4 linked regions of the Lonchura striata genome follow. The protein of the gene in region 2 interacts with the protein of the main gene of each other region in a pairwise test. Links are inferred from orthologs where the notes say so. Each region holds a gene or a part of one and is shown on either strand. Other genes may lie near its edges.

What was found.
Region 1: the proteins of USP2 (region 2) and NDEL1 interact in binary tests that used the Homo sapiens proteins (3 or more experiments, as listed by UniProt). The two-hybrid records come from large-scale screens. The link is inferred for Lonchura striata from reciprocal best matches to the Homo sapiens genes USP2 and NDEL1.
Region 3: the proteins of USP2 (region 2) and LHX4 interact in binary tests that used the Homo sapiens proteins (3 or more experiments, as listed by UniProt). The two-hybrid records come from large-scale screens. The link is inferred for Lonchura striata from reciprocal best matches to the Homo sapiens genes USP2 and LHX4.
Region 4: the proteins of USP2 (region 2) and HOMER3 interact in binary tests that used the Homo sapiens proteins (3 or more experiments, as listed by UniProt). The two-hybrid records come from large-scale screens. The link is inferred for Lonchura striata from reciprocal best matches to the Homo sapiens genes USP2 and HOMER3.

Annotation. Positions count from the first base shown.
Region 1 is NC_134621.1:1,235,515-1,242,735, forward strand, and holds the start of NDEL1 (nuclear distribution protein nudE-like 1), read right to left. Parts: upstream 3,018-7,221; 5' UTR 2,914-3,017; intron 1-2,913. UniProt on the Homo sapiens protein: Required for organization of the cellular microtubule array and microtubule anchoring at the centrosome. May regulate microtubule organization at least in part by targeting the microtubule severing protein KATNA1 to the centrosome.
Region 2 is NC_134625.1:9,111,144-9,119,075, forward strand, and holds the start of USP2 (ubiquitin carboxyl-terminal hydrolase 2), read left to right. Parts: upstream 1-4,924; 5' UTR 4,925-5,160; intron 5,161-7,932. Other genes in the region: THY1 (thy-1 membrane glycoprotein), read left to right, coding at 609-645, 750-1,085, 1,649-1,761. UniProt on the Homo sapiens protein: Hydrolase that deubiquitinates polyubiquitinated target proteins such as MDM2, MDM4 and CCND1. Isoform 1 and isoform 4 possess both ubiquitin-specific peptidase and isopeptidase activities.
Region 3 is NC_134611.1:2,296,764-2,304,135, forward strand, and holds the start of LHX4 (LIM/homeobox protein Lhx4), read right to left. Parts: upstream 3,018-7,372; 5' UTR 3,003-3,017; coding exon 2,927-3,002; intron 1-2,926. UniProt on the Homo sapiens protein: May play a critical role in the development of respiratory control mechanisms and in the normal growth and maturation of the lung. Binds preferentially to methylated DNA.
Region 4 is NC_134630.1:7,419,502-7,426,843, forward strand, and holds the start of HOMER3 (homer protein homolog 3), read right to left. Parts: upstream 3,005-7,342; 5' UTR 2,551-3,004; intron 1-2,550. UniProt on the Homo sapiens protein: Postsynaptic density scaffolding protein. Binds and cross-links cytoplasmic regions of GRM1, GRM5, ITPR1, DNM3, RYR1, RYR2, SHANK1 and SHANK3.

The sequences.
Region 1 (7,221 bases), on a different chromosome or scaffold from region 2:
TCACACCCTGAGCAGTGCCAGGGCATCCCAGGCAGCAGCAGTGCCCAGCCTGGCAGGGACACCTGCACCAGGGACAGCTCCAGGTCCCCCAGGTCACCCCAGCAATCCAAAGCATCCCGATGACAGCACCTCCTGGCAAGGCAGTGGCCAGAGGGTGACACACTTCTGACACCACACAGTGACCCAGGAATTCCAAGGGGAGAGCACTCAGCAGGGATTTCTGCCACAAGGACTGAATTCTGCTGCTTTTACAGCTCTGAAGTTCTACCAGTGCTGGGGGGGTAAAATGGATTTGAAAAATACCCCCCAAAATAGATCACAGACCAGCCCCCAGCAGAGAGAGGTTCTGAACAGAATATTAAACAGAATGTTAACAGAATATTAAAAATAACCCCCTAATCTCTGTGTTGATTAGGAGAAGGAACCAGCACAACCTTCCACTGAGTTCTGGGGACAGAAGAACCCTCGAGGGGCACAAGCACATCATGAAAAATCTGCTCTGGTGGGTCTGGCTTTGTCTGGGGGTGAGGGCAGCACAGCAGAGCAGGCAGTTTGTGAACACACTCCCCACTTTATCTTGATTCTGTTTGTGGTGCCACAGACATCAAGGGCTGCAAAAATACCATTTCCTTTCTGCAGTCTGACTTTCCTGGCACCTCAAAAAACCAACTGTAATGCTCTGAGGGCATGCACTGTGCTTTGCTGCTGTGCTTCCTGGCAGTCTGCTGCCAGCAGCGTCTCCAGACAAGATTCCTTGTGACACCAAGGTCACAGACATCATCAGCCCCGTGCTTTCTCTCCACTTTCCTATTTTCCTTTCTCTTCTCCGTCCTCCACCAAACGAGGAATTATCTTACGAATCTGCAAACTCTAAAGAGTCAGGGGGAAAAAAGGGAGGGTTTTCCCCTGAGGAGGAAGGAAGGCAACTCAAACACTGACTCAAACACTGCCCCTGAACACTTCCTTCACTTCTGGGACTCCCAGTGACAAGTTTAATTAAATTATTAAACCTTCTCACCAGGGCTGTGCCTCCACATATACAACAATACAGAAATGCACAGCCCAGCCAGGAAACAGGACAGGGGATCTCTTCTAGGGCAGAGCTAACACTATTAATGCCAGATCCACACTCCTTACCCAGCTCTGCCACAGTTAACTGGCACCATCAGCCAGCCTGCCTGTGCAGTCACGCTGCAAACACGTCAAACTGGCATTTAAATAAATAAATATAGAAGCACAGAATTATTCATGTTGGAAAAGACCTCTGAGATCATCAAGTCAACCTCTGACTAATCACCACCTTGTCAACCAGACCAGGGCAATGAGTGCCACATCCCAGGAGCTCCTTGAACACCTCCAGGGATGGATGGATGGGGTCTCCACCACCTTTTCATATCTAAAAGCTTCCCAGTCTCTTTTCTGCCTTGGGACAGCTTCTTCCTCTTACAGTTGCTGATATCTCTAACAAAACACTGACCTTGGAAAGGCCACCAGCTCTCAGCAGGAACAATTCCTTCCTCAACAAGGAATTATTTCTTTGTGGGGGGTGGGGTTTGGAAAAAAATGTAAAGGAAGAAAAAAAAATTTTCTGAAGTATCCAAGGAACTCTTCTGTAGCAATTTCTTGTGTTTAACCACCTCTCAGGCAACAAATGCCAGAGGCATCCAGACCCTGCACTTGTGAGCAAGTCAAGGCAGGGAGAAGAGAGAAACCCTGAGTCACTCCCAGCACAGAGCGGGCTGTGGGTAGGAGAGAACCCTGCAGGGATGTGCCGGTGGGAGAGGAGAACCCTGCTCCTCCCGGGAGGGACAGGGATGTGCCGGTGGGAGAGGAGAACCCTGCTCCTCCCGGGAGGGACAGGGATGTGCCGGTGGGAGAGGAGAACCCTGCTCCTCCCGGGAGGGACAGGGATGTGCCGGTGGGTCACCGGGCAGGCTGGGCAGTGTCGCTGCTCTCTCCCAGCGCATCCTTCCCGCACGTCGGCTGCAATTCGGGTCACGCTCACCGGGCACGGGCTGCTGGGGCTGGGCACGCCCGGACACAGCGCACAGGGCTCCCAGCAAGGCCAGGCACCGCCGAGAGGAACCCTCGCGGAATTACCGACTGAATTGCCGGTGGAATTACCGACGGAATTCCTGACAAACCCCCCGGGAGCGCAGAGGGCCAGGGCAGGGCAGGACCCGGAGGCCAGCGGTCCCAGCTGGGAGCGAACAGCCCCGGTCCCCGAGCAGGGCACCGAGCTCCCCCGGCCCGCCCGTCACATCCAGGGGTGACGACTGCACCGCCACCTCCCTGCCCGCTCCCGACCCCAGCACCAGCTCCGGCAGGAATTTCCTCCCGGAAAAGACGCTGTGCCCCGGGCGGAGCATCCAGCAACAGAGGCGGACCACGCGGCCAGCTCCAGTGCCGGGAAAACGCCCGGGCGGGGGGCGAGGCCGGCAGAGCGGCGGGCAGGGCCCGGGACACCCCCGAGCCCCGGAGCGGCCCCGAGCCCCGGGACAGCCCCGAGCCACGGTGCAGCTCCCAGCCCCGGTGCGGCCCCGAGCCACGCTGCAGCCCCGGTGCGGCCCCGAGCCCCGGTGCGGCCCCGGTGCGGCCCCGGTGCAGCCCCGGTGCGGCCCCGAGCCCCGGTGCGGCCGGGCCGGCCCCGCTCCCGGCGGCGCGGAGGGGCCAGGGCGGCGGCCGAGCGGGGCCGCGCCGTGACTGACACCGCGCGCAGCCAATGGGAGGCGGCGGCGGCGCAGCCGCGGCCAATGGCGCGCCGGGGGCGGGCCGTGCCCCGTTGTCAATTGGCAGCCAATGGCGGCGCCCCCGGCCCGCCGCCCGCCCGGCCCGCGCCCCCCGCCCGCCGCGCCGGGCCCCGCTGGCCGGGCCCGCCCGGTGCCCCCGCCCGGCCCCGGGCCCGCCGCTCACCGCAGCGCATCCCCTGCCACAGCCGCCGCCGCGCGCGCCCGCCGGGGCCGCCTCATCCGGGGACTGGGGGGCGAGGCCGGCGCGTGATGCAAGAGCCGGCGGGGGCGGGGGCACCGGCGTCACACCGGGCGGGGCCTGGATGGTGCCCGGTGCCGGTGCCCGGTGGCCAGCGCCGGTGGCCGATGCTCGGTCTCGGTGCCCGGTGCCGGTGCCCGCTGCCCGCTGCCCCTGCCCGGTCTCGGTCTCGGTCTCGGTCTCGGTTCCGGTGCCCGGTGCCGGTGCCGGTCCCCGTTTCGCACGGCGAGGGGATCCCCCCGTGCTCGCCCCCACCCCGCCGGCCGCCCCCGGGGTGAGGTGGTCCCGCCCTCCTCCTTTGCAGCCTTCGGGAACTGCCCCCTGCCCGTTCTCTGCCGCTCTGTCCCCGGTGACCCCGGCGGGGGCACACCAGGCACGGGCATGGACACGGGCCCTGCCTCGGGGTCCCGGACATCCATCCCTCGGGGTCCCGGACATCCATCCCTCGGGGTCCCGGACATCCATCCCTCGGGATCCCGGACATCCACCCCTCGGGGTCCCGGACATCCACCCCTCGGGATCCCGGACTCCATCCCTGGGGATCCCGGACATCCATCCCTCGGGGTCCCGGACATCCATCCCTCGGGGTCCCGGACATCCATCCCTCGGGATCCCGGACATCCACCCCTCGGGGTCCCGGACTCCATCCCTGGGGATCCCGGACTCCATCCCTCGGGGTCACGGACATCCATCCCTCGGGGTCCCGGACTCCATCCCTCGGGGTCCCGGACTCCATCCCTCGGGATCCCGGACTCCACCCCTCGGGGTCCCGGACATCCATCCCTCGGGATCCCGGACTCCACCCCTCGGGGTCACGGACATCCATCCCTCGGGGTCCCGGACTCCATCCCCCAGCCCGCGCTCCTCGCGCCTGTTTCCCCCGGGAGCGCCGCTCTGCCTCGGAGCCTCCTCCGGCAGCCGGCGGCGGGCAGCGGCCGGGCCCAGGCGGGGCTGCGCTCCCCGGGGTGCGGGAGGTGCGGGATGCGCTCCCAGCGGTGTGGGCTGCGTTCCCAGGGGTGCGGGATGCGTTCCCCGGGGTGCGGGATGCGTTCCCAGGGGTGCGGGATGCGTTCCCCGGGGTGCGGGATGCGTTCCCAGGGGTGCGGGATGCGTTCCCAGGGGTGCGGGAGGCGCTCCCAGCAGTGCGGGATGCATTCCCAGGGGTGCGGGATGCATTCCCAGGGGTGCGGGATGCGTTCCCAGGGGTGCGGGATGCGTTCCCAGGGGTGCGGGAGGCGTTCCCCGGGGTGCGGGATGCATTCCCAGGGGTGCGGGAGGCGTTCCCAGGGGTGCGGGATGCGTTCCCCGGGGTGCGGGATGCATTCCCAGGGGTGCGGGAGCTGTTCCCAGGGGTGCGGGCTCCGTTCCCAGGGGTGCGGGCTCCGTTCCCCGGGCTGCGGGAGGCGTTCCCCGGGGTGCGGGCTGCCTGCCCGGTTAACAGCGCTCTGGGGGATGCTCGCTCGGAGGTGGCCCCGCTGTCCCTTTGTGTGCGGGGCTGTTCCCACGCGGCCGCCGCGGGCCGGGCGCTGCGGGCAGCACAAAGGAGCCGTCGCTCAGCATTAGCGGCCGCACAAAGCGGCTCCTGCCGCAGCCTCCGCCGGCCGCCCCCCCAAACCCGCCCCGAGCGACCCCCGGGAGACGCGGGCTGCGGCCAAAAAGGGTGCGGGAGGAGCTGCGGGCGGCCCGCAGTGCGTGGGGGCCAGGGAGGGTTTGCGGGCACTGCTGCGGAGACCCAGGGGGCAGACAGGGCGGGTGAGGGGCTCCGGGCAGGGCTTATGGGCTGGGAATTGCGGATCCACTCGTGCGGCCCCTCAAGATGCGGCTGCAGCTGGGGATGAGCGAGGAGAGGCGGCTGGGAAGGTCGGGCAGGGGGAAATCGGCGCTGGGGCTGCTGTTCGGGGAAGAGGGGCGATTTGCTCGTTAATCTCCGTCTCGGAGGGTTGTCCAAGGCCGTGGAATCCAAACTGTGCCCAAGCCGCACCTCCTCACCAGCCCAGAGCACTGAGTGCCACCTCCAGGTGTTCCTCGGGCACCTGCAGGGGTGGTGGTGCCACCGCTTCCCTGAGCCTCCTGCTCCAATCCCTGACCACCCTCCCAGGGCAGAAATCCTTCCTGATGTCCCTTATTTTGACTGCAGGATAAATATAAATAGAACTATAAACATAAAACTATAAATAAATATAAATACAATCATAAATAACTGTAACTATAACTATAACTAAACTATAACTATAACTACAACTATATAACTAGAACTAGAACTAGAACTAAAACTAGAACTAGAACTAGAACTAGAAATAGAAATAGAAATAGAAATAGAAATAGAAATAGAAATAGAAATAGAAATAGAAATAGAAATATATTCTTCCCTTATTTTGACTGCAGACTCAATATATAAATATAAATATATACAAATATATTTTCCTTATTTCTATTAATAGAAATATAAATATCCTTCCCTTATTCTGACTGCAGGCAGCCAAATGCAGAGCGGAGCCCGTGGGACAGAGCCCTCCTGCCCTCTGCCACCCTGTGCTGAGCATCCTCCTGCCCAGAACCCACCTGGGCTGGCAGCGGAGTGACCCTGGAGGGGCTGCAGCAGCTCTGCCCGCAAACTCTGCACTCACAGCACTGTGTTTTCAGATGATTGGAAATACCATTAAATGTTGGGTATTCGGTATTATTGAGCTTTTCTTTCTGTGCTGCTGCGGGCTGAGAAGCTGCCCTGCGCGTGTTCCCGTTAGAGGCAGGAGCATCTCTGCAATCCCAGCCCTGCAGGAGCCGGGCTGGAAGGAAAAACCCAAACCTTGACACCCCTGGGCAGCCACGGGGAGCATCCCGCTTGGGCAAAAGGCTCCAAACCCCAATCCCAGTGGGTTTTCTGCTGGAACTGTGGGGTTTCTACACCTTCCCTGCTGGCAGGAGGCTGGAGGGAGCTGCCTGGCGGGAGGGCAGCCAGGGGGAGGCGGGCAGTGCCTGGGGACACCGGGACACCGCGTCCCTGGGGTGGCAGCGCTGGCTTGCCAGGGTCACAGGGGCAGTGCCAGGCTCTCCTCGGGCTGCTGTGAGTCCCACCGGGGCTGGGTGGGCACCGGGGCACGGTGACAAGCAAGGGGACAATCGGGCCGTGCTCCCCCTCGATCTGCTGCCCCCCATCCCGACCCCGGGGAGGGGCTGCAGGGTCTGGGGCTGGGCAGGACCCCCGGGCTGTTTGGGGTTACATCAGGGTTTGGGTCACAGGCAGCTGTTTGGGGGCACATCCAGCTGTTTGGGGTCACAGCCAGCTGTTCCTTGTGTGGGATAAGCATTCGCCCCATGGAGGAAGAGCAGGTCCCCTCGATGCCGGTGGCAGGGGCGGCTGCTGGGGACTGTCCCCCTCACCTGGGCACCCTCCAGCGCTCCCTGCTCGGCTCCCCGGTGCCAGAGCCCGTCCGAGAGCACCATCTCCTGGGCACGGCGGAACCCCCGCAGGAGAAGCTGAGCCGGAGCTCTCCCTGCGCATTTTGGGCTGCCTGGGCTGCAGGGGGGTCCGCCTGGTGGGCTCCATCCTGCCGGGTGCCTGAGGAGCAGAATGGACACCCCCAGCAGGAAAAAAACGCTGATTTCCCCACTGGAATTCAAGCAAAGCAAGAGTGGGGGAAGATGGGTGAGCTTGTGCTCCTTTTGAAAAGCTCGGATTCCCCTGAAGTTGTCCAGCTTTTCCAGCTGTTTGAGTTTATTTTGACAGCATGGAAGTGGATAGAACCTAGGGCCCAGAACTCTTGGGCCTTCCACCAGCACAGTGCAGCCCTGGAAAATTAATTTTGCTTCACAGAACTTCTTCTTTAGCTGGGAATTTCCCCCTGGGCTGGGCTCAAACATGGATTTACTCTTTCCTGCCTTCACCGCATTCCCAGCTGGGGCTGGGACGGGTGGGAGGAGAATGAGTCGAGCAGAAACTCCTGTGAAACCTCAGCTTTGCAGCTTGAACACGGCCAGGGGAAAGGCTGGGGGGTTTGGGAGGACTGGCTGTGAGCTGGGAGGGATGGGGCAGGCAGCAGGCACCCCCAGAGGGATGGGAAAGGCGTGGTGGGGGAAGGATGGAGGAGAGAGAGGAGGGGCAGCCTGCCCTCCCCTCTGCGAGCAGCCCTGCCCACACGGGGACACGGGACAGGGACAGCAGCCACCCTCGCATGGAGCATTTTTGGCTCTGGGACAGGAGGGCAGGGGAGCCCTCAGCAGCTTTTGGGGATC
Region 2 (7,932 bases):
CTGCTGTGTCCCTCTTCCTCGCTGCTCTTGGCCCCTTTCCCTCACTGCATTGCAATGACTCATCCTTGCTGAGCTCACCCGCTGGAGCTGTGGGAGGGCTGGCAGGGCAGGCGCCCACCAGCCCCCAAAGAGGGTCCCTCAGCTGGTAGCCCCTCGCCGTGAGCCACAGACCTCTGGTCAAGGTGTGCAGGCACTGGGGTGCAGCCTGGTTTCACCTTTCTGAACCTTGGCTGGCCATAGGGCAAAAGGGGGAGAAGGCTGGACAGGGGACAGGCAGGCCTTGCTGCGGGTCTGGCTATGCTCATTTAATGTCTGCTGGGGAGATCTGGACAGGGAAAACAAAGTGTGGATGGGGAAGTGCAAAGATGATGCTGGGCAGAAACGCAGTGCCTGGTTCCCCAGCTGGGTGCAGTGCCAGCCAGGCTCTGTGCAGTGAATCAGACGCTGGTGACGAGGAGCAGACGCCAGAGCATTGTCTGTGCAAGAAGGGCAGCCTGCACCACCGAGTGCCCACACCCATGGGGCAGTGGCCTGGCTAACTGCCTCTCTCTCCCCCTGCCCAGGTTCCCCTCTCAGAGACAGCCCCCACCAGGCACCTCAGCAGCGAGATGAACCCCACCGTGGGCATCGCTGTCATCCTGACAGGTACATCCCTCCCTGCTCCCTGCTCGGCCCAGAGCAGCCTGGAGGCTGCACGGGCACCCCCAAAGCTCGCTGATCCCTGTCCAACCCCTTCCTGCCTCTCCCAGTCCTCCAGGCCGCCCACTGCCAGATGATCAAGGACCTGAGTGCCTGCCTGCTGGGCCAGAACCTGCGCGTGGACTGTCGCTATGAGAACAAAACCGACAACCCCCTGACCTACGAGTTCAGCATCACCAAGGACAACAGGAAGCACGTCATCCACAGCACCATCAGCGTCTCCGAGAACATCTACCGGAGCCGAGCCAACGTCACCATGCACAAGAACCTGGTGTGCCTCCACCTGCAGAGCTTCACCACCAGCGATGAGGGCATCTACATGTGCGAGCTGAAGGCCACCAACGACTACACCGGCAACCAGATAAAGAACATCACTGTTATCAAAGGTGAGACAGGCAGTGGCACCTGGCCTCAGCCCTTCCCACCTGCTCCTTGGCTTGGCAGGGCCAGCAGAGAGCACCACAACTCCCTGTGGATCCTCAGGGAGGATCTATAAATGTGTCCCAATCATTCAGGTGCGCTTCGTCTCACAGATGGGTTCACTCTACTCCATCTCACACCACTTTTCCTGCCTCTCTTGAGTCCCACTTCAGGCACATTGCCTTGATATCCTCCCATGGAGAGGACAGTGGGGATCCTCCACACCTACAGCCCACAGGATCTGTCCTCCAGAAAGGGGCTAAGAGACCCTTGTCTCACCTGGTGCCCACCCACTTGTCACCTCAGTCAGGCACAGGCAGGGTTATGCTTCTCAGGGTCCCAAAAAGTCTTTGCTACTACATTCCCTCCATTGGGAGGGAAACAGGCCAGGATGGGATGTGCTGCACTTCTGTGACAGAGCAAAAGCACAAAGCTGTGTTCCTGTACCCTTAGAACTCCCAGCCTGAGCCCCATTCCCGAGGGATTTCATGGCCTCTCTTCTCTCCCTCCCCATTCCTTCTCCTCACAGACAAACTGGAGAAATGCGCCGGCTTCAGCCTCTTGATCCAGAACACCTCGTGGCTCCTGCTGCTGCTCCTTTCCCTGCCTCTCCTGCAAGCCGTGGACTTCGTGTCCCTGTGAAAGGCGAAACGCACACACACACACACACACACACACACACACACACACTCACAGCGCTCGCACACACACGCACGCACACACCGAGCACCCCAGCCACCCCGCCTTCCTCGCAGCCCCTGGAAAGAGAAGCTGAAGCGTCTGGAAGCCGTGAAACCTCTCTGTGTTATCTCTATTTAGCCGTATATTTACGCTAACCACCGTCCCGTGCCGAGGCCCACCATCCCACGCACACGCGCCCCGCTCCGAAGCATGGTGGCTCTGCTAGGCAGCGTTGCTTCTCCCATCGCTCCTCCCCGCTCCGTAGGCTGGCTGGTTTGCTTGTGCTGGGAGCACTGGAGGCCTCAGCCTCGCTTGTCCCATCCCTTTAACTCTTGGGGTTTGCCTGTTCTCAACTGGGGAAAGACAGCTGGATTGGCAGGTAAGAGAGGGGGGTGATGCGAGAGCGTGCGGAGGGTGCCCGTGGTGGGTGCTGCGCCCGTGGCCCCTGGAGGTGACAGGGCTCTTGGTGTCCCCACCCGCCCTGCCTGCCTCACCCTGCTCCTCTCACCCTGAGCTGCCACGGCTGGGAGAGGGCACAGAATGACTCAGTGAATGGGGAGCCATGGGACGCTGCTGGGCCTGGCAGGCTGGGAGGAGAGAGGGGAGCAGGTCTAGGAGACACCATGAACCCCCCCTGCCTCCTTAGGGCTCCTCTGGGACCCTGGGAACGGGCTCAGTGCAAATGTGCTTCGGCAACAAGTTTTTCCTAATCTATTTCTTACAGCTGAGCTGGAAGTGAGGCCTCCTCCAGACACCATCTGGTACCTTTGGGCTGCCCAAGCCAGAGACACCACTCGCTCTCCCCAGGGACCAGCCCTTAGCTGTGACGAGAGAATTGCTGCCAGCACCAGTGGAGGCAAGCAGAGCCTCTCTGAGCTAGCCACAGCCCCACTGCCCTCCCCAAGCCCTCAGAGCTGTGCCCGGGCTGGCTGGTGAGGAGGGGGTTCCCCTCTGGGAGCGTGACCCCAAGGTCTCTGCAGGGACTCCTCTGTAGGGGCACTTTGTCTTCCCGAAGGGAACATCTGGAGCTATCCCCAGCCCTTCCTCATGGAGAGGCAGAGCAGTCTTCCTCAAATCCCACTGTGCTCCTGGGAGGAGCCCGTGTGCCCCCTCCCCTCTCCCTCCTCCCTTTCAGCATTTCCCCGTCTCCCTTTAAGAGCAGCAAAGGACCGAAGGGCAGCCCACAACCTCAGCAAGGCCAGGATGGTGCCAGGGGTTGGCGAGAGCAGGGACAGGGATGGCCAGCACAGCTCAGATCTGCCAGCCCAGGGCTGCCCACGGGACCCCGAGGAGCCTCACCCAGGGGAGGGCACAGGGAAAGGAAGAGGCAGGAGCATCCAGCTGTGCCACCCGTGCAGCCCGGGCTGTGCCACCACGGCTGAGAGCAATACACAGCAGCTGCTCCCCACTCCTTGCTCCTCTCCAGAGCTGCTTCCTACCCCCGTGCCCATCCCCTGCCCATCCCTGCCTGCTTGCTTGCTGTCTAGTGCTGCTGAGGCCGTGCCCAGCTGAGGCCTGGCTGTGCCCAGCTCCCTGGGCGTACTGGTGAGCGCCGGGGCAGGCGCAAAGCCCAACGGCAGAGCGCGGACGCGGCTCGAGTCTCATTTTTTTGTGAACATTTGTAGTTATTTCCACAGCTTGTCGTCAAAGAAATTCTGTTAAGGGAAAAGGGGAAAAAAAAAAAGGAAAAAAAAGAACCCTATGAAAAGCAACAAGAAAAAAAAGACCACCTTACCATCCAAGGAGTGTTTCTCTGTCTGCACAATAAAACCCTACCTAGGTTCTGTGTTGGAGCCACGGGCGCCGTGTGTGTGGCACTGGGGATGAGGGCTGTGTGGGGCTGGGCACCAGGACCCTGCTGAGGGGCACAGCCCCCCAGGCAACCCCCATGTGCCTCCAGCACCCCAATGTCTGTGGGAGAGGAGCAGGCAGAGGGGCAAGATGTGGCTTCCCTGGGCAGGGCAACCCCCTCCTGCCCATCTGGAGTGAGGCCCCCTGCTCCCAGACCCTTTGTCCCCATCCCCGTCCCTAAACCCCCAGCTCCATCCCAGACACCATGGTGGCAGGGAGGCACAGCAGGGGACCAGGTCTGGCCCTGGCCCCTCCATCCTCTGGGGAGGGAATTGCCAGGGATGGAAGTGGCCATGGGAGCGGGGCTGGGTGTGCACATGTCCCAAAGCTCCTGTGCCCATCACACGTGGGTCCTGCTGGGGCTCCTGTGCCCATCACACCAGGGTCCTGCTGGGGCTCCTGTGCCCATCACACCAGGGTCCTGCTGGAGCTCCTGTGCCCACACACTGCCTGGGGGCTGCCAAGGCCTCTCATGTCCTTTGCAGCAGCCATACACTGCCCTGCCCAGCGTCAAGATGCCACCCTGGCACCAGGAGCCACCAGCAGGACTCAGCCACCACCCCCTGACACCATTGGTGACCCTGCGCCACCTCCCAGAGTGACGCCCCGACGCGCCCCTCCCTGTTTAAGGGCTGGAGCCAGAGGGAGGGAGGGAGGAAGATGCCACCCTAATTACATCCCTCCCCATTATCCTCGGCAGGTGCTCGCTGAGTCACGGCCACGCAGGTGCCGTAGCCTGGGCGGGTCAGGCGTCCCCATGGATCCACGAGGGGCGGCCACGCCACGCCAGCTGCCCCACACCCACCTTTGCTGAAGGTTTAGTGGGCTCTTCTCCCTACAGCTCATCCCAGGGGGGGGCAAAACCCAGTCCAGCTCCTCCCCTCACCCTGATGCTCTACTCCAAACCTTGCTGGCAGCCACCAACGCCCCTTTTTGTGCCTCCCTGCCCCACACGCACCAAGCGGTGTTCCCACCACCGCTCCCTCCCTTAACCCTCCCTCTATCCTTCGCCTCCTGGACCTCGACCTGCCTCCCCAAATCTCTCCGTCCCTCACGCTTACCCTTAGTCCTGCTCCACCCCGCACAGCCCCCGCAGCCTCCCCTGGCAGCACCCCCTTGCCGAGGGCCACCAGCCCACCCGGGCTCGCGTCCCCTTTAAGCCTCCCCAAGCTGGAATGCGAGAGGAGCATTTCAGCGCCCTGTGAGGTCAGATAAAGACACTATATTTATCTGCCTGGTAACCCGAGCCCTGAATTTCTGCGGTGGTGTTTTTACGTGGCCCCACAGCCCTCGGGCTCGGCCCCCTCCGGCCACTGCGCTCCCTCCCAGCGTGGAGGGGCTGAGCCGGGGGCGTCCTGTCCCCTGCGAAGGGTTCGGCTGCTGCCCATCTCCGGTGCCGGGGCAAGCTCCCCAAGGAGGCAGGACCAGCGCCGAGGGCATCACCGAATGCCTGGCTGGTCACCCCTCGCCGTGTCCTGAGCAGCCATCGGCCACCCGTGCCACATGCAGGTGAGTGCAGGTGGGGACACGGCCCCGGGGAGGGGGACACGGAGACAGACAAAACTGTCCCGCTCTTCCTGCAGCCGGATAACAGCCCGGGGGAGAGGTTTCTCTCCAGGGAGAAGGTTCTGAGTTCACACACAAAATCCTGCCTTTGAGCCACCCTCCCCGGCACCCTCCTCGTTCCCCAGCGTGGGCAGAGCCTCCTGCCCGAGGGTCCCTTCTTTTTTTTGGCACGCACAGACTCAAAGCAGTAATTCATGCCCTGGGTCTTACGTCAGGGTCCCCCGTGGGTTTGGGGTTTTGCTGCCTGGGGGGTGGCCCGGGAGCAGCAGCAGCAGGCTCTGCAGCAGGGTGGGGATGGGTCAGCAGCAGGGAGCGGGGCCAGGGTGGTGACTCCCGGCTGTGTGGGGTGAGCCTGGGGGTTCCTCAGGCCCAGGGCTGGCAGGGGAAGGACCCTGGCCAGGCTGGGTGAGTCACCTTGGGCAGGGCTTGTCACTTTGTGGGGTGGGAGTGGTGGGGAACGCAGGAGCCAGGCTGTGCCAGAGGCACTGCAGTCCCCATCTGTCGAAAGGGTCACTCCTGTCCCCTCCAGGGAGCAAACATTTTGTGGCTCATTCCCTCCAGGGCTGCTCGGGGTCAGCCTTCCTAGAGGGAAATGGATACCTGGAGGGATTCTGTGCCTTGTTTCCCTTGGGGAATGGGCAGGAGGCTGTCCCACCTCGCTCAGCTGGACACAGAGCCCCTCAGCCCCAAAGCACTTGTACTCTGGAGCGTGCAAAGTGCCTCACACAGGGTCCCCTCTCTGCCTCCACCACGGCAGAGTCCCGGGAGCCCCCACGTAACCTCAGGCCGGGACATTGTGTCTCAGGGGACGGCTCTGAGCCTGCGTAAGCGAGAAGCAGCTGTGCTGTGACACCTTGGATGGAGCCAGCGCTGTGTAAGCTGAGCCGAGCCCGCTCTGGGGCTCCGTGGCCACCGAGGGGGACAGCTGCCACCGGGCACGGGCAGGACAGAGGGGACACCTGCCACCGGGCACGGGCAGGACGGCAGCTGGGGACAGAGCAGGCCTCTGCTTTTCTGCCTCAGAGTGAGGGTTTTGCCTCCTCACTTTGAGCTGAGATTCCCAGGGAGGGCAGGGCAGGACTCCCCAGCGCCCCGAGCAGCCCCGTGTGTCCCGCTCCCGTGTGGTGGCACCGCTCCCGCCGGGCCCGTGAGCGCAGACCGGACATTCCTGTGCCTCAGCTTCCCCTGACAGCCCGGGAGGATGATGAGGGTGCAGGCGGCCTGACTCAGCCGTGCTGGCCCCAGGGCTTTGCCAGGCAGCAGGAAAGCTCAGCACAATGACGGGTAGGGAGGGGCCAGGCAGCCCAGGAAGCGCTGGGAGGAACCGGGGTTTTCTCACACCCCCTCAGCTCCTCTGGCTCCTGGCACGCTGTGCTCTCCCACCGCCCTGGGGTCCGCTCGGATGTGACATGGGGACCTGGAAGCACAGGCAAGCCTGGCAGATGTGACATTCCTCCATGGTAAGGCCTCTCTTCCCAAGGAATGGGATAGCTCCCGTGGCCGGGGCCGGTGCCCGCTCCTGACCCTGCATCCCTCCATCGGCTGCTCCGCATCCCCAGGGCAGGTGCTGCCCTGTGGAGACCTGTCCTGCTGCCAGGAGCACCTGCTGCCCTCCTGCTCCCAAACTTGTGCTCTCCTGGCACTGCCGGTGCCAGGAGAGAGCGTGGGCACCTGGCAGGGGATGATGGCATGGGGCTCTCCTGGCACTGTCCCAAGCCAAGATCATCTCTGCTGGCGACGAGGATGGGGAGTAGGGGCAGTCCCTGTGCCAGGCTGCTCCGTGCCCCAGCAGGGCAGGCAGCCAGGCATGTGCTCCCTGGGAGCCCAGGGGCTCCGTCACTCCCATCCTGGCACTCAATGCCAGTCTCCTGGCTGGGGTCCCACTCCCTGTCCGTGTCAAATGCCGACTGGCAGAGCCCCGCTCCTGGTGAGGGCGGCCGCAGCCAGGCTGGGAAGAGCCAGGTGTTCCGTGGCTCCCGTGCCCGGGAGCAGATTATTCACCCTTCAGCCTCCGTCCCCAAACAGGTCTGTGCGCTCCACCTCGCTGCTGCTTGTAAATATTTCCCTGTCCGCGGTGGGACGGCTGCTCCCTGGGCAGCAGCAGCAGCGGCCGGGACAGAGCCAGGCTGCCCGTGGGAGCCCACGGGGGCTGCTGCCGTCCCTCACCGCCCCTCCCTGAAGCATTCCCGGGGCGTTTCCACGCGGAGCCCGCGGGGCTCGGAGCAGGAGGCTGTGTCCCCGCAGGGCCAGGCAGGCGGTGACCCGCGGTGGCTCCTCGTGCCTCGTCCCCAAGCCCCGGTGGCACCCTCGGTGCTGCAAGGGACGGGCCAGGCACAGGCTCCGGCACCTCCCGGCTTGGAGCCGGGCCAGAGCCCGCCCCGGCTGGGCTGGGAAAAGCCTTTGAATCAGGGTCATCTCCCGGGTGACTGGAGACTCTCGGAGCCACATGAGCCACTGTCCTGCCAGGGAAGGGACACCAGTCACCCCGGGAGCTGAGCACCAGCAGCGCCGGGGCAGAGGAGCTCGCCTGGGTGCTGCCTGCCCCAGTGCCACCCACAGCCCCAGCACAGGTAGGGATCCAGCCATCAGTGCCGGCATGGGCACTGAGGGCAAACTCTCCTGACAGCCCGTGTTTGGGGACTGCTGGCTGCCACGCTGCCATCCCTGCTCTGGGTTGGCTCTGTGTGTGCTCTGGGACCTCTGTCCCTGTCTCTG
Region 3 (7,372 bases), on a different chromosome or scaffold from region 2:
GGAAAAATTAAAGAAATATCGATCGAAACGAAACAAACTGGCCGGTGGCCTCAGGAATCGCTCAGAGCGCAAAAACCCCTCGGAAAGGAGCGGGGGGAGATGCGGGGGCAGCGCCGGGGGGATGCGCTCCCCGCCGGGCCCCGCGGGGCACGAACACCCCCGGCCCCGGGGCTGCGCTCGGCTCCTGCTCGGGGAGGGGACGGAGCCCCCGGTGCTGCGGGATCGGGGCCCGGGAGTGCGGGGGGAAAGCGGAGCACCGAGGCGGGATCGGGCCCGGGAGTGCGGGGGGAAAGCGGAGCACCGAGGCGGGATCGGGCCCGGGAGTGCGGGGGGAAAGCGGAGCACCGAGGCGGGCCGGGCCGCCGGACCGGAGCCTGCACCGAGCCCGAGCAAAGCACCGCTCCGGGGATTCCTCCCGAAGTCTTGCTGCGGGGAGGAAACCTCATTCCTTCGCATGCAAAAACCTTCCGATTCATTTCTCTGCTGCGGGCAAACGACTTTCTCGGCGGCGATTAATCACTGCCCCAGCTCCAGCCCCTTGGCCAGCGCCTGCCGGCAGCCGGGCACTGTTCCCGCAGGCTTTGGCACAAGTTTTGACTCCGGTGAGATTTGCAAAACAATATTCATAAATAATATTCGGAATTTTATTTTTAACAATCCCGTCTGCAAGGCTAAGCAAGGCCTTTCGGGTGGGGGGGAGGGAGGATGGTGGAGGGAGACTTCTCACCTCCCCAAAATCCTGCAGAAAAAGATGCTGTAGGACACAGCCGCTGCTAAAATAATGAGGCTGGTGGCTAAAGGGAGAGGAAAAAATGCGATTTAATAGCGATTAAAAATTAAAATGCCACGGATTTTCCTCTCACACACGATGAAATATCGAGGTGCTGCTGGGGGCTGGGGGGAGACCCTGGATCCTTCTTGGGAAGGGGTTCCCTGCCCAGGGACAGTTTCCTTTGGCTCGAAGGGGGCTGAGTTTTGTGTCACTGAGGCAGGATCAGGCCCCAGATCTATCACGACATGAAAGCAGGTGATTGGGAGCTGGCAGCGGCCTCAGGGCTCAGGCTGGGGCAGCGGGGAAACCACAGAAGGATGATTTTCAGCAGCCCAGCCTCATCTATTTTCTTTCTGCCATTTTATTTGTGCATAAATAAGTATAATAGTGATAATAATAATAATTATTAATAATAATAGCATTAATAGAAAAACAAATAGCAATAATAATAATAATAATAATAATAATAATAATAATAATAATAATTTAATCTCGTTGATTATTTCCTGCTAATTCTTGATATCCATCAGTCAGTACACGCATGACAATGTCAGGGGCAAGGGAATTTGGTAGCCCGAGGAGGGCCAGATCAGGGAACTATGCTGGGGCAATGCTGCTCCACGGTGGTTTGGGCATCTCATTTTTTTTCCTAAATCGAGGGATTCCGAGGCCATAGGAGTGACCCAGCGACCCGGAATCGGCGGCGTGACTCGGGATACGGTACTGGGACAAACCCCACGTGTCCCGGTCCCTGTCCCTGCACCGGCTCTGTGCTCCTGACCGCGATTTTATTTCCCCCCTTGTTGCGGTGAAATTGGTTAAACGGGGTCCTCCTGTTCAACCCTCCCGCAGCTCGGCAAAGGGATCGAACCGAGGGATAACGGCGACAGATCCCCCAAAGAGCCGCGGGAAGAGGCACCACCGAAAAACCCAGGGAAAACGAATCCCAGCCGCCCGGGGGGCCGGGGCCCCGTGCGGGGCACGGAACGGCGCGGGGGCTCCGCGGGGCGGCGGCCGGAGGCGGGGGAAACCTGTCCCGGAGCGGACACCCCGTGCCCCCCGTGTCCCCCCGTGCGGCCGGACCCCGGCCGGGCTGTCCCGCACCTCGGGCCCGTCGCGCCCCTCCTCTCAACTTTCTCGGCGCCGCTGTGGGGGGGTCGAGCATCGCCCTCTTGGCCCCGGTGGGGTCCCCCCCATTCCGGGAGCGCGGCGACGCCCCGGTCTCGGGAACGGTTTGCAAACGGAAGAAATGATAATAATAACAAAAATATCAACGAGAATAACAACAGCAGCAACACCCGCGCAGGTGGCCGCCGCGGAGGCCCCCCCGCAGGGCGCACCGGGGCACGGCCGTGCCCCACCATCCAAAGGGGGCATCCGTAGTGCCCACGGGATGCCCCCGCGCGGGGCTCGGCCCTGTGAGGGGCTGGCAGCCCCTGTGGCTCACTCACAGCTCGGGGCCAGCATCCCCCCTCGGGGTGCACCATCCCCAGCGGGCTCCATCCACCCGTGCCCGCACCCCCACGCCGTGCCTGTGCGCACCCCCACGGACACGCTACCTGTAGCTGCAGGGCCACAGACGCGCACACAGACACGCAGGTGATTTTTGGACAGACGCGGCATCGCTCCGGGGGCAGCGCGGCGCCCGGCCGGGCTCTCCATCCCGGTACCGCTCACGCACGGCCCTGAGCCCCTTCCCACCGCCGCCGCTCGCCGCCTGTCGCGATAAACGATATAAGCGCGGAGTCGTGCGCTGCGGGTCGGCGATGCGCGGGGCGGGCGGGGGCCGGGGCCGCACACACACACACACACACACACACACACACACACACACACACACACTCACACACACACACTCTCACACTCGAATTCACGCTCACACACGCACAGCCGGAGCCGCGCCGTCCTCCCCGTCGGGGCCAGGCCCGCATCGCTCCGCTACCCGCCCGCCCCGGGGCACCTCTCTCCCTTCCGCACCCGCCGCATTTTCGCGTCCGTGACCGGCGCTACACGCCGGGGAAAATAAACACAAAGTGCAGAACCGGGAGCGAACGGGAGCGGAGGCACCTGCCCACCCGCAGGGCGCTGCCCCGCCGGCCCGGGGCCGCCTTTGCGGCAGGGAGCGAAGGAGGGAGAAGAGAAAAGCGTCCTTACGTTGCACCGGCACACCGAGGATCTCGGGAAGCCCCTTGACAGCCCCTTCGGCAGCGAGCGCAGAGCTTTGCATCATTTTATTGGCCCGGGGGGCGGCGGAGGGGAGAGAAGAGGGGCGGGAGAGCCGCGGGCCGGGCCGGCGGAGGCCGGCGGCGGGAGGTGCCGTGTCCCGGTGCCGTGTCCCGGTGCCGAGTCCCGGTGCCGTGTCCCGGTGCCGGTGCCCGCCGGTGCCGCCCGCCTCCCATTCATTCCCCTGCGGGGAGCGCGCCTGACGTCACCGCCCGCAGGGGGGCGGGGGCGGGCCGGGCCCCCCGCAGCCAATCAGCGCCCGCTCCGCGCCGCCGGGGGCGGGGCCTGGGCCGAGGGGGCGGGGCCTGCGCGGAAGGGGCGGGGCCGGGCCGGCGGTGGCGCTGGGGACAGGGGGACAGGGGGACAGGGGGACAGGGAGGGACAGGGGGACAGGGGGACAGGGGGACAGGGGGACAGGGAGGGACGGCCCCAAGGCCGCTCCGCTCCCGGGACTCAGGGCCCTTCTCCCGCTCCGTGGAAGGCGCTGGCCTCAGGCACAGCCCCTGCCCTGTCCCTCCTGCCGCCGGGAATGGAGCCTTAGCCAAGGGCCGCTTCCCCGGCTCCGCAGGACAGCGGCACATCCCGCACCAACACGAGCTGTCGCCCAGCTGCTGTCACCCCGCCGTGACACGCTCTGCTTCCACAGGGCGTGTAACACATCCCTGGGCCCATCCCATGGTGCCTCCCCGGGGACACACCGAGTCGGCAGCGCTGCGGCGTGCCCAGCCCGACAGCCCCGGGCCGCGGTGGCACAAGGTGGCAATGCTGAAGTCACAGCGCAAAGGTGGCTACGGCCTCCATGAGCATCCCCGTGGGGCTCTGCTGAGGGAAAGCCCTGAGACAACGCAGCCCCCGCCACTGATGTGGCTGTACCTGGCGGCCACGGGCCGAGCAAGGAAACTCACCGAAATGGAGCTGAAGTTAGGGGGGGTGCCCCCAGCATCAACCTTCCCGATGGTCACCGTGTCACCAGCTCGGGGACAGCGGTACCAAACAGCCCCGACGTGCTGGGCCATCCCGCTCTGCTTAGAGAGCAGGGGGAGGCTCCCGAGGTGGCACACGGCAGCTTCTGGCAGGTGAGGGAAGATGCTCACCCAGCCAAGAGCATGGCCACCCTCAGCTCAGGTGCTCCCATGCCAAGCCTTCGTTTCTACACTGCTAGGAAGAGGATTTTCCCACCTGAAAAATCCTGAAACCCTGCTCCGTCAGAAAATGTGCAGATGGGACAAGCCAGCATCTGGAAAAAAAATGTTTAAAAATAAAAGCAATAAACCCTAAAAAATGTATTAAGACTGATGGTTCCTTAGGAAAAAAATTAAGTTTTTCTATGAGATGCTGGGGTTTGACCCCCTCAAAGCTCCATTTTTACCAGCAAACCCCCGTCCTCCTCACATGGCAGCTCTGTGCAGAGACCGGTGTGCGCTCATACCGGAGTGAGCTCCACCCTGCAGCTCACCGAACGCCATAATCTGCTTCCCATCACAGGGAGGTGAATCCCAACCCCTCCCATCCCATCCCGTCCCATCCCCTAAATCACGCTGCAGCTCTTAAGTGCATTAAGCACGGCCAGACCCCCGTCGCCCCCGGCCACCTGCGCTCCGCAGCCCCTTGGGGAGGGGGCCCCCGTGCCCCCCCAGTCGCCAGCCAGCCACAGCGGGGCCCCAGCGCACAGAAAGGCAGGTCCCTAAGGCAGATTTACGGGAGAAGTTTAGCCGGACGAGCGGACAGAGGGACAGACGGACCCTGCCCCATCGCTGCCCTGTCCTGCTGCTTTGCATTTCCAACCTATTTCCCTAATTATTCCAGCGCTGCTGGGAGTCACCGCGCTCTCCCAGCTCTCTGGCACGCTCTGATTTATCTCTCAGCCGGGATAACAGCTCCCTCCACCCCCTTCTCCTCGGAGAATTCAATTTTCATTCATTTTTCTGCTTTGCCAGATTGATCCAGCCCCCTCTGCCCTGCACTGGATCACTCATGGAAGTGGTGAGCGGGCAAAAGGAGCCACCCAGCACCGAGCCTTCACCTTGGGGAAGCCGGGGGAGAGGCAGGGATTCGGGGGGCTGCCACCACCAAAAAAACCACCCCACCAGCATCTTCCTGTGCTCGCTCACACATCTTCCCAGCAGCGCCTTCATCCCTTCCTCTCCTTGGTAGCACGGCTTTGTTCCCCTCCATCCTTCCTGCTGTCCATCTGTTCCTTATGTTGGTGGAGATCTCTTGGTCTCTTTAGGGATTTTTTAGATCACTTTGGGCTTCCTGGTCTCTTTTGAGTTTGTTTTTCCCATGTCACAGGAAGGAGAGGGCGGTTCAGATGGGCATGAGGTTCTTGCCCAGTAAATCCTCTCTGTGCCACTCAAAACGCTGCTGGGTGCTGGTGGTGCCCAGAGAGAGTGGGTTATATGTGGTGGGTGTGAAATGTTCCCCCTCCAGGCTTTCTCCTCCACCCAGAGCTAAATCAGAGCTATGGCTCATGGTGACCATCCTGCAGAAGGGTGAATGTCGATTTTCATCAGGTTGCATTTCTGGGGCACTTTTGGGGGGCTCTGGCCCCACACAGATGCCCTGCTCCTTCCTTGGCATTGCCTGGAGCCCTCCGGCCCTGCAGCCAGAGGAAGACACGAGCAGCGTGAGGAGATGATGCAAAACCCACAGACGAGCAGGGATGCTGCTCCCACACCTTCCCTGCTGGGATTCATCGTTAATAAAATGCAGGTAAATCCCAGAGCCTGTGACAAAACACAGAGCCAGCCTCCCCGTGTGTGCCCCAGCCCTGGGCACATTAGAATTAGGGTTGGTTTGGACACTGTGGCACCGAGGGGGACATCAGTGCATTGTCCCCTGGTGCAACAAGGGGGTTTCTAGGCAGAACTGGGGAGATGTAAAGCAATATAAGGAAATATAAGGAAAACTGGAAACTATAAGGTCCTGACTCATGCCTGGGGGCTGCGAGTGCAGTTCTGTCCCAGTCAGCAAACCCCAAACAGATTTGGAGGTGCCAGGGAGCTGAGGCTTTGTGCCACTCATGCAGAGAGTTTGCCCGGTGCCAGCCCAGCTCCGAGTCCCCTCATGTGACAAAACCTGCTCCTCCAGACCAAAGTGGGGACATCCTTGCAAGTCCAAAGCTGCCACAGCTTCATGCCCTTTTGGCATGAGGCCACCTCCCCCCTGGGCAGCATCGGCCGTAGTACCCCGAGCCCCCCCAGATAAATAATCTGAATTATCCCAATAATTACCCCCTCCCGTTTCCATCCCTACTGCAGGACCGGCCTGGAGCGAGGACAAGCACATCGAGAGAGAGCCGGGTACTCACCAGCAGCCAGGGAAAGCCTCTCCCCTCGCAGGCAGGGGCGTTGCTAATTGTAATTGAAAATTAATCGGCGCTCAGCGGACCCCCGGTGATTTTATGGCTGCGGCGCGTGTGGAGACGGGATGCCGGTGGAGAAAGGCTCTTCCCTGTGCCGAGCAGGGAAAGGGAAGTCGGGCAGGGCTGGAAGGAGCGAGCACTGAAGGGGTGGGAAGGTGGCTGGGTGTGCGGGGGGCTGGCCACCGGCCTGGAGGAAAATTAAATTGCACTTGAGGGTAAATTGTATTAGGGAATAGCGGCCGCCCCGCGGCAGCCTGCGGCCATTTGGGTAATTAGCCCCAGGGACCCCCAGGCTCGTGGCAGTGCCGGGAAGGGGTGACCCCATCAGGGTCCATCAGGGAGGGCAGCTCGGGGGCTTGGGCTGGGTCCCCAGGACAGCCTGTGCCACCTGCGAGTGTGGCCACAGCAGCTTGCTGCTCCCGCTCTGCAGGGCTCAGGGGGGACCTGTCCCCAAATCATCCCGAGATGGGGACAGAGCGTGGGGGACACTCCGAGCCCTGCAGCAGCCCCGCTGTGCCCTGCACTGGGGCTCCCCAGGTGTTGCAGGGGGACACCCCGGTGCCACAGGTCGGGAGAGCCGGGGCCGGGCGGATTGCGACTCCACCAAACAGGATTACGGAAAGTCTATTTACGAGACTCTCTGTTTCCTGCGCGCACAGCGGCTTTAGGCTGCGGGCCCGGCGGAGATGCTAATCTGGGCATCCCGCTAACCCCCTTCCGGCAGCGCCCACCTCCCCAGCCCTAATCCCCTCTCCCTCCACCTGCTGCACCCCCTGCCCACCCCACCGGCATATTTTGGGGCTGAGGTGACCACGGGCAGCCCCACATCGCGATCCCTCGGTCCCACACAGGGGAGCAGCTGGCGAGGGGGGGGTTATTGATGTTGGGGGTGAACCCCCCAGGGAAATCAAGGAGAAGAAGGCAGCAGGGCTGCAGCGATGAGACCTTCCCCATCCATCACCCGGCGGTGGGCAGGGCCGGCACCCGGCTCGGGGGAGCCAGCCCCGCTCCGT
Region 4 (7,342 bases), on a different chromosome or scaffold from region 2:
GAATTCCAGAGTTAGTTAAGTAAAGTCTGCTGGAATTCCAGAGTTATTTAAGGAAATTTTGCTGGAATTACAAAGTTAAGGAAAGTCTGCTGGAATTCCAGAGTTAGTTAAGGAAATTCTGCTGGAATTCCAGAGTTATTTAAGACAATCCTGCTGGAATTCCAGAGTTATTTAAGGAAATTTTGCTGGAATTACAAAGTTAAGGAAAGTCTGCTGGAATTCCAGAGTTAGTTAAGGAAATTCTGCTGGAATTCCAGAGTTATTTAAGGAAATGCTGCTGGAATTCTAAGGCATGGAAATTCTTCTGGAATTCCAGAGTTATTTAAGGAAATTCTGCTGGAATTCCAGAGTTATTTAAGGAAATTCTGCTGCTCAATATCCCCATGGGACCTCCAAGGCCACCCTTTAATCTCAGGAGTGAAATGGGAATTCAGGAATTTTGGGGTGGAACCGTCTGGCTGGGCAATGGTTTCTGCTGCCCCACCAGCGAGAATTCCAGATCATTCCAGGTACAGCAACAATTCCTGCATCCCAAATTTTCCTCCAGGCGGCTCCGGGGGTTTTCCAGCGACTTTGCAGATGGCAGGAGAAAACAGGGACACAGGGATTTCACCTGGATCAGCACATCCCCTGCCAGCTTCAAAGGCTTCTGCCAGCCTCACATTTCTGTCACTGCTGGTTCCTGCCTCATCGCTCCCTCTAGCTAGTCCAAAAATAACATTTTTTTTTTTTAAAAGGAAAAGGGAAAATTAAAAAAAAAAAAAAAAAGAGGAAAATAGGAAATTTATTAAAAAAAAAAAAAAAAAGGAAAAGGGAAAATTTTATCAAGGAAAACAGGAAAAAATCTTTAAAAGGAAAATAGAATTTTTTAAATAAGGAAAACAGAAAATAATAAAAAAAAACAATCCCGCTCCCAAAATCCCATTGCCAAAATCCCGCTCCCAAAATTATTCTCCTAAAATCCCACTGTCAAAATCCCACTCCCGAATTCCCTCTCCCAAAATCCCACTGCCAAAATCCCGCTCCCAAATTCCTTCTCCCAAAATCCCATTGCCAAAATCCTTCTCCCAAATTCCCTCTCCCAAAATCCCTCTCCCAAATTCCCTCTCCCAAAATCCCTCTCCCAAATTCCTTCTCCCAAAATCCCATTGCCAAAATCCTTCTCCCAAATTCCCTCTCCCAAAATCCCTCTCCCAAATTCCTTCTCCCAAAATCCCATTGCCAAAATCCTTCTCCCAAATTCCCTCTCCCAAAATCCCTCTCCCAAATTCCCTCTCCCAAAATCCCTCTCCCAAATTCCCTCTCTCAAATTCTCTCTCCCAAATTCCCTCTCCCAAATTCCCTCTCCCAAATTCCTTCTCCCAAATTCCCTCTCCCAAATTCCCTCTCCCAAATTGCTTCTCCCAAATTCCCTCTCCCAAATTCCCTCTCCCAAATTTCCGCTCCCAAATTCCCTCTCTCAAATTCCCTCTCCCAAATTCCTTTTCCCAAATTCCCTCTCCCAAATTGCTTCTCCCAAATTCCCTCTCCCAAATTCCCGCTCCCAAATTCCCTCTCCCAAATTCCCTCTCTCAAATTCCCTCTCCCAAAATCCCTCTCCCAAATTCCCTCTCTCAAATTCTCTCTCCCAAATTCCCTCTCCCAAATTCCCTCTCCCAAATTCCTTCTCCCAAATTCCCTCTCCCAAATTCCCTCTCCCAAATTCCTTCTCCCAAATTCCCTCTCCCAAATTCCCTCTCCCAAATTCCTTCTCCCAAATTCCCTCTCCCAAATTCCTTCTCCCAAATTCCCTCTCCCAAATTCCTTCTCCCAAATTCCCTCTCCCAAATTCCCTCTCCCCGGTTCCCGTCCCGGCAGAACCGCCTCGGCTCCATCTTCCCGCCCGCAGTCCCGAGGAATTCCCAATTTCCGAACTCCGGGAAGTTCCCGGCGCCGCCCGTGCACGAGTCGCGGCCGCTCGCCGTTCTCCGCTTCCCCGCCCCAAAAATTAAAGGCGAGGCGAAACTTTCCAGCTCGCAACGCGGCAAAAAAATAAAACCCCCAAAAAAGCGCCGATCAAGCCTTGAATTCGTGCCTGAGAAGCGGCTCCGGGCCGTGGGCACGGAGAGGAACGGGAACGGAGCCCGGCGAGGAACGGGAACGGAGCCCGGCGAGGAACGGGAACGGAGCCCGGCGAGGAACGGGAACGGAGAGCGGAGAGGAACGGGAACGGAGCCCGGCGAGGAACGGGAACGGAGCCCGGCGAGGAACGGGAACGGAGCCCGGCGAGGAACGGGAACGGAGCCCGGCGAGGAACGGGAACGGAGAGCGGAGAGGAACGGGAACGGAGCCCGGCGAGGAACGGGAACGGAGCCCGGCGAGGAACGGGAACGGAGAGCGGAGAGGAACGGGAACGGAGCCCGGCGAGGAACGGGAACGGAGAGCGGAGAGGAACGGGAACGGAGAGCGGAGAGGAACGGGAACGGAGAGCGGAGAGGAACGGGAACGGAGCCCGGCGAGGAACGGGAACGGAGCCCGGCGAGGAACGGGAACGGAGCCCGGCGGTCTCACCCCATCCCCGGCGGCCGCGATCCTCCCGCGCCGCCTCCTCCTCCTCCTTCTCCCCTTCCTCTTTCTTTCTGTCCTTCTCCGGATCCGGATGCTCTTTAAATTTCCTCCGGAATTTCACTTTGAAGCGTTGCTGCAGCTGCTGCTCCGCGGCTCCGGGAGCGGCTCCGGCACCGGGAGCGGTCCCGGGATCGGCACCGGGGAGTGGTGCTGGGAGTGGCACCGGGAGCGGTACCGGGAATGGATCCGGGAGCGGCTCCGGCACCGGGATCGGCACCAGCACCGGGGAGTGGTCCCGGGAGCGGCTCCGGCACCGGGAATAGCCCCGGGAGCGGTACCGGGAGCGGTACCGGGGTCGGCACCGGCACCGGGAGTGGCCCCGGGAGTGGCTCCGGCACCGGGAGCGGTACCGGGATCGGCACCAGCACCGGGGAGTGGTTCTGGGAGTGGCACCAGCACCGGGAGCGGTCCCGGGATGGGCACCGGCACCGGGAGCGGCCCCGGGCGCTCCGGGCTGTGCCCCGGCGCTTCTCCGCCCGCTGCCCGGTTCCGTCCGGCCCGGCAGGGAGCGGCCGGACGGAGCCGGTGCCTGTCCACGCCTTTTGTCCCCCCGCACCGGGCGTTCCCTCCGCGGGCACCGCGGCCCGGGCTCCGCGTTGCCCGGTCCCGCCGGTCCTGCCCGGTCCCGCCGCTCCCTACCCGCTCCCTGCCCGCTCCCGCCGCCCCATCCCGCTCACGTTTGGCCGCTTTTCTTCTCCCGACTTTATTCGCGGCGCCGGCAGCACCACCTGCCGGGACAGGAGCCCGGTGCCACCCCCGGGACGGCGGGGACAGCGGGGACAGGAGCCCGGTGCCACCCCCGGGACGGCGAGGACAGCGGGGACAGGAGCCCGGTGCCACCCCCGGGACAGCGGGGACAGGAGCCCGGTGCCACCCCCGGGACGGCGGGACAGGAGCCCGGTGCCACCCCCGGGACGGTGGGGACAGCGGGGACAGGAGCCCGGTGCCACCCCCGGGACAGCGGGGACGGCGGGGACAGGAGCCCGGTGCCACCCCCGGGACGGCGGGACAGGAGCCCGGTGCCACCCCCGGGGCGGCGGGGACAACGGGGACAGGAGCCCGGTGCCACCCCCGGGACAGCGGGGACAGGAGCCCGGTGCCACCCCCGGGACAGCGGGGACAGGAGCCCGGTGCCACCCCCGGGACAGCGGGGACAGAATCCTCGGGGTTCCCTGAGCCCCAAAACCCTCTGCCCCCCAAACCCCCTCACTCACCCCTGGAATCCAGAATTCCAGCCTGGCAGCACGAACATGAGTGAGAGAACCCCGGGTGTGATAATACTAACCTGGGTGTGATAACCCGGGTGTGGTAACACCAGTGATAACCCGGGTGTGATAACCCGGGTGTGATAATACCAGTGAAAACCCGGGTGTGATAACCTGGGTGTGATAACACCAGTGATAACCCGGGTGTGATAACCCGGGTGTGGTAACACCTGTGATAACCCAGGTGTGATAACCTGGGTGTGATAACCCGGGTGTGATAACCCGGGTGTGGTAACACCAGTGATAACCCAGGTGTGATAACCCGGGTGTGGTAACACCTGTGATAACCCAGGTGTGATAACCCGGGTGTGATAACCCGGGTGTGGTAACACCAGTGATAACCCAGGTGTGATAACCCCGGGTGTGGTAACACCAGTGATAACCCGGGTGTGATAACCCAGGTATGATAATACCAGTGATAACCCGGGTGTGATAACACCTGTGATAACCCAGGTGTGATAACCCCAGTGATAACCCGGGTGTGGTAATACTAACCTAGGCGTGATAACCCCGGGTGTGATAACACCTGTGATAACCTGGGTGTGATAACCCAGGTGTGATAATACCAGTGATAACCTGGGTGTGATAACCCCGGGTGTGATAACCTGGGTGTGATAACCCCGGGTGTGATAACCCCAGTGATAACCCGGGTGTGATAAAACCTGTGATAACCCCGGTGTGATAACCCAGGTGTGATAATACCAGTGAAAACCCGGGTGTGATAACCTGGGTGTGATAACACCAGTGATAACCCAGGTGTGATAACACCTGTGATAACCCAGGTGTGATAACCTGGGTGTGATAACCCGGGTGTGGTAATACTAACCTGGGTGTGATAACCCCGGTGTGATAATACCAGTGATAACCCAGGTGTGGTAATATCAATTCAGTATTTCAATTCAGGATTTCAATTCAGGATTTCAATTCAATATTTCAATTCAGGATTTCAATTCAGGATTTCAATTCAATATTTCAATTCAGGATTTCAATTTAGGATTTGAATGTAGGATTTAAATTTAGGATTTCAATTCAATATTTCCATTCAGGATTTCAATTCAGGATTTCAATTTAAACCGCTGAAATGCAAACTCCTGCAAGGATCGCCCATCTCTTCCAGGAGCAGAAAAATCTCCAATAAACACCAAAATCTGTCCCCAGCTGTTGCTTTTAAACCCAAAATTCCTTTTTTTTCCCCACACATGCTCGAAGTTCCCCTCCAGAACGGCCCCTGAGCCACTTTTCTGTGCGGCTTTACAGAAATTAATCCTGCAGCGCTAAAAATACCCCAAATTCACCTTCCACTTTCTGTTTAAAGCAGCTCATTAAAGCCTCCCCGTGCCCCTGGGGCTGCTGCTTTTCCAGGAAAATTGAAATTATTCCTCACTGGCCGGAGCCTTCCCCTCCATTTCCCCCCATTTTTTCTCCTTTTCCCTTTCTTTAGCTTCTCAAAAGGATTTTCCCCTGCTTTTTTTTTTTTTTTTTTTTGTCCTAATTCGACCTTTTCCACATCTCCCTCTGTCCAAAAATGTCATAAATCAAATTTCAACCGCTGAATTTATTTATTGCCGAGGTGAGGCCACGGCTCAGGGGGGAGAAGCTGAAATTTCAGCTTTTCTGAGCCACTTTTTCTTTTTTCCAAGTGAATTTTCCCTTTTCTTGGGTGGGAATTACCCTGAGTTGCTGCTCAGGAAAATCCCAGGACAGAAAGGCACAGGCAGCTCATTTCCCCCCATTTTTACAATTCTGAGAAAGCAGAAATTTGATTTTTATAATTTTCACATTATACTATATTATACTATATTTCATTCTATTATAATCACATTATATTTTACTATATGTTTATATTAATTATATATTACATTACATTATATATTAACTATATATTGTATTAATATTATCATAGTATATAATAATATATATAATATTATTATTAATATTTTATTATCCTATTTAATAATAAAGAAATATAATCGGGTTGTATTGAACAATAACTCCCAAAGCAGGAGTTACCACCCCAAGCCCAAAGCCAATATTTGTAATTTCTGACAAATAAATAATAAATAAACGTGATGAAAGAGAAATGAATACGTAATATAATAAATAAATAGAATGAAACGGAAATAAATGCATCCTAGAATAAATAAATGTAATGAAATAGAAATAAATAGATAATAAATAAATGGAATGAAAGAGAAATGAAGCTACCATAAATCAGCACAATTCAAGCTAATACAAGGAAGGTGCTGCAGCAAATCCTCCCCAGCCCAGCCAATTAGCCGGGATTAATTAGGCCGGGATTAATTGGGCCGGGTAATTAAAGCTCCCGGGAGGGCGGGGCCCGGCCTCGGGAGGGGACAGGGGACAGGGATGGGAGAGGGGACAAGGGACAAAGAGGAAATGGGGACAGGGAAGGGGACAGGGGAGAGGGGACAGGGATGGGGACAGAAAATGGGACAAGGAAGGGACAGAGAATGGGACAGGGATGGGAATGGGGACAAGGACAGGGATGAGGACGGGGACAGGATGGGACAGGGATGGGGACAGAAAATGGGACAAGGAAGGGACAGAGAATGGGACAGGGATGGGAATGGGGACAGGGACAGGGATGAGGACGGGGACAGGGGAGAGGGGACAGGGACAGAAAATGGGACAGGGATGGGAATGGGGACAGGGAAGGGGACAGGGATGGGGACGGGGACAAGGGACAAAGAGAGGAAATGGGGACAGGGATGGGGACAGGGACAGGGATGGGAATGGGGACAGGGGAGAGAGGACAAGGAACAGAAAATGGGACAAGAAAGGGACAGGGGACAGGGATGAGAGAGGGGACAAGGGACAAAGAGGAAATGGGGACAGGGATGGGGACAGGGGAGAGGGGACAGGGATGGGGACAGAAAATGGGACAAGGAAGGGACAGAGAATGGGACAGGGATGGGAATGGGGACAGGGAAGGGGACAAGGATGGGGAGGGGACAAGGGACAAAGAGAGGAAATGGGGACAGGGAAGGGGACAGGGACAGGGGAGAGGGATGGGGACAGGGATGGGGACGGGGACAGGGGAGAGGGGACAGGGACAGAAAATAGGACAAGAAAGGGAGAAGGGACAGGGATGAGGACAGAGGAGAGGGGACAAGGGACAGAGATGGGGACAGGGACAGGGACAGGGATGGGGACAGGAGGGGACAGGGACAGAAAATGGGACAAGAAAGGGACAGGGACAGTGAGGAGGACAGAGAGGGGACAAGGGACAGGGATGGGGACAAGGGACAGAGATGGGGACAGGGACAGGGACAGGGACAGGGACAGGGACAGGGATGGGACAGGGACAGGGACAGGGACACGGCTGGAGCCACCTGGGGTGGCAGGAATTGTCCCCAGGTTGTTCCCAGTGTGTCCCCAGAGATGTCCCCAAGCTCTCCCCACGGTGTCCCAAGGATGTCCCCAAGGTGTCCCCAAAGTGTCCCCATGGG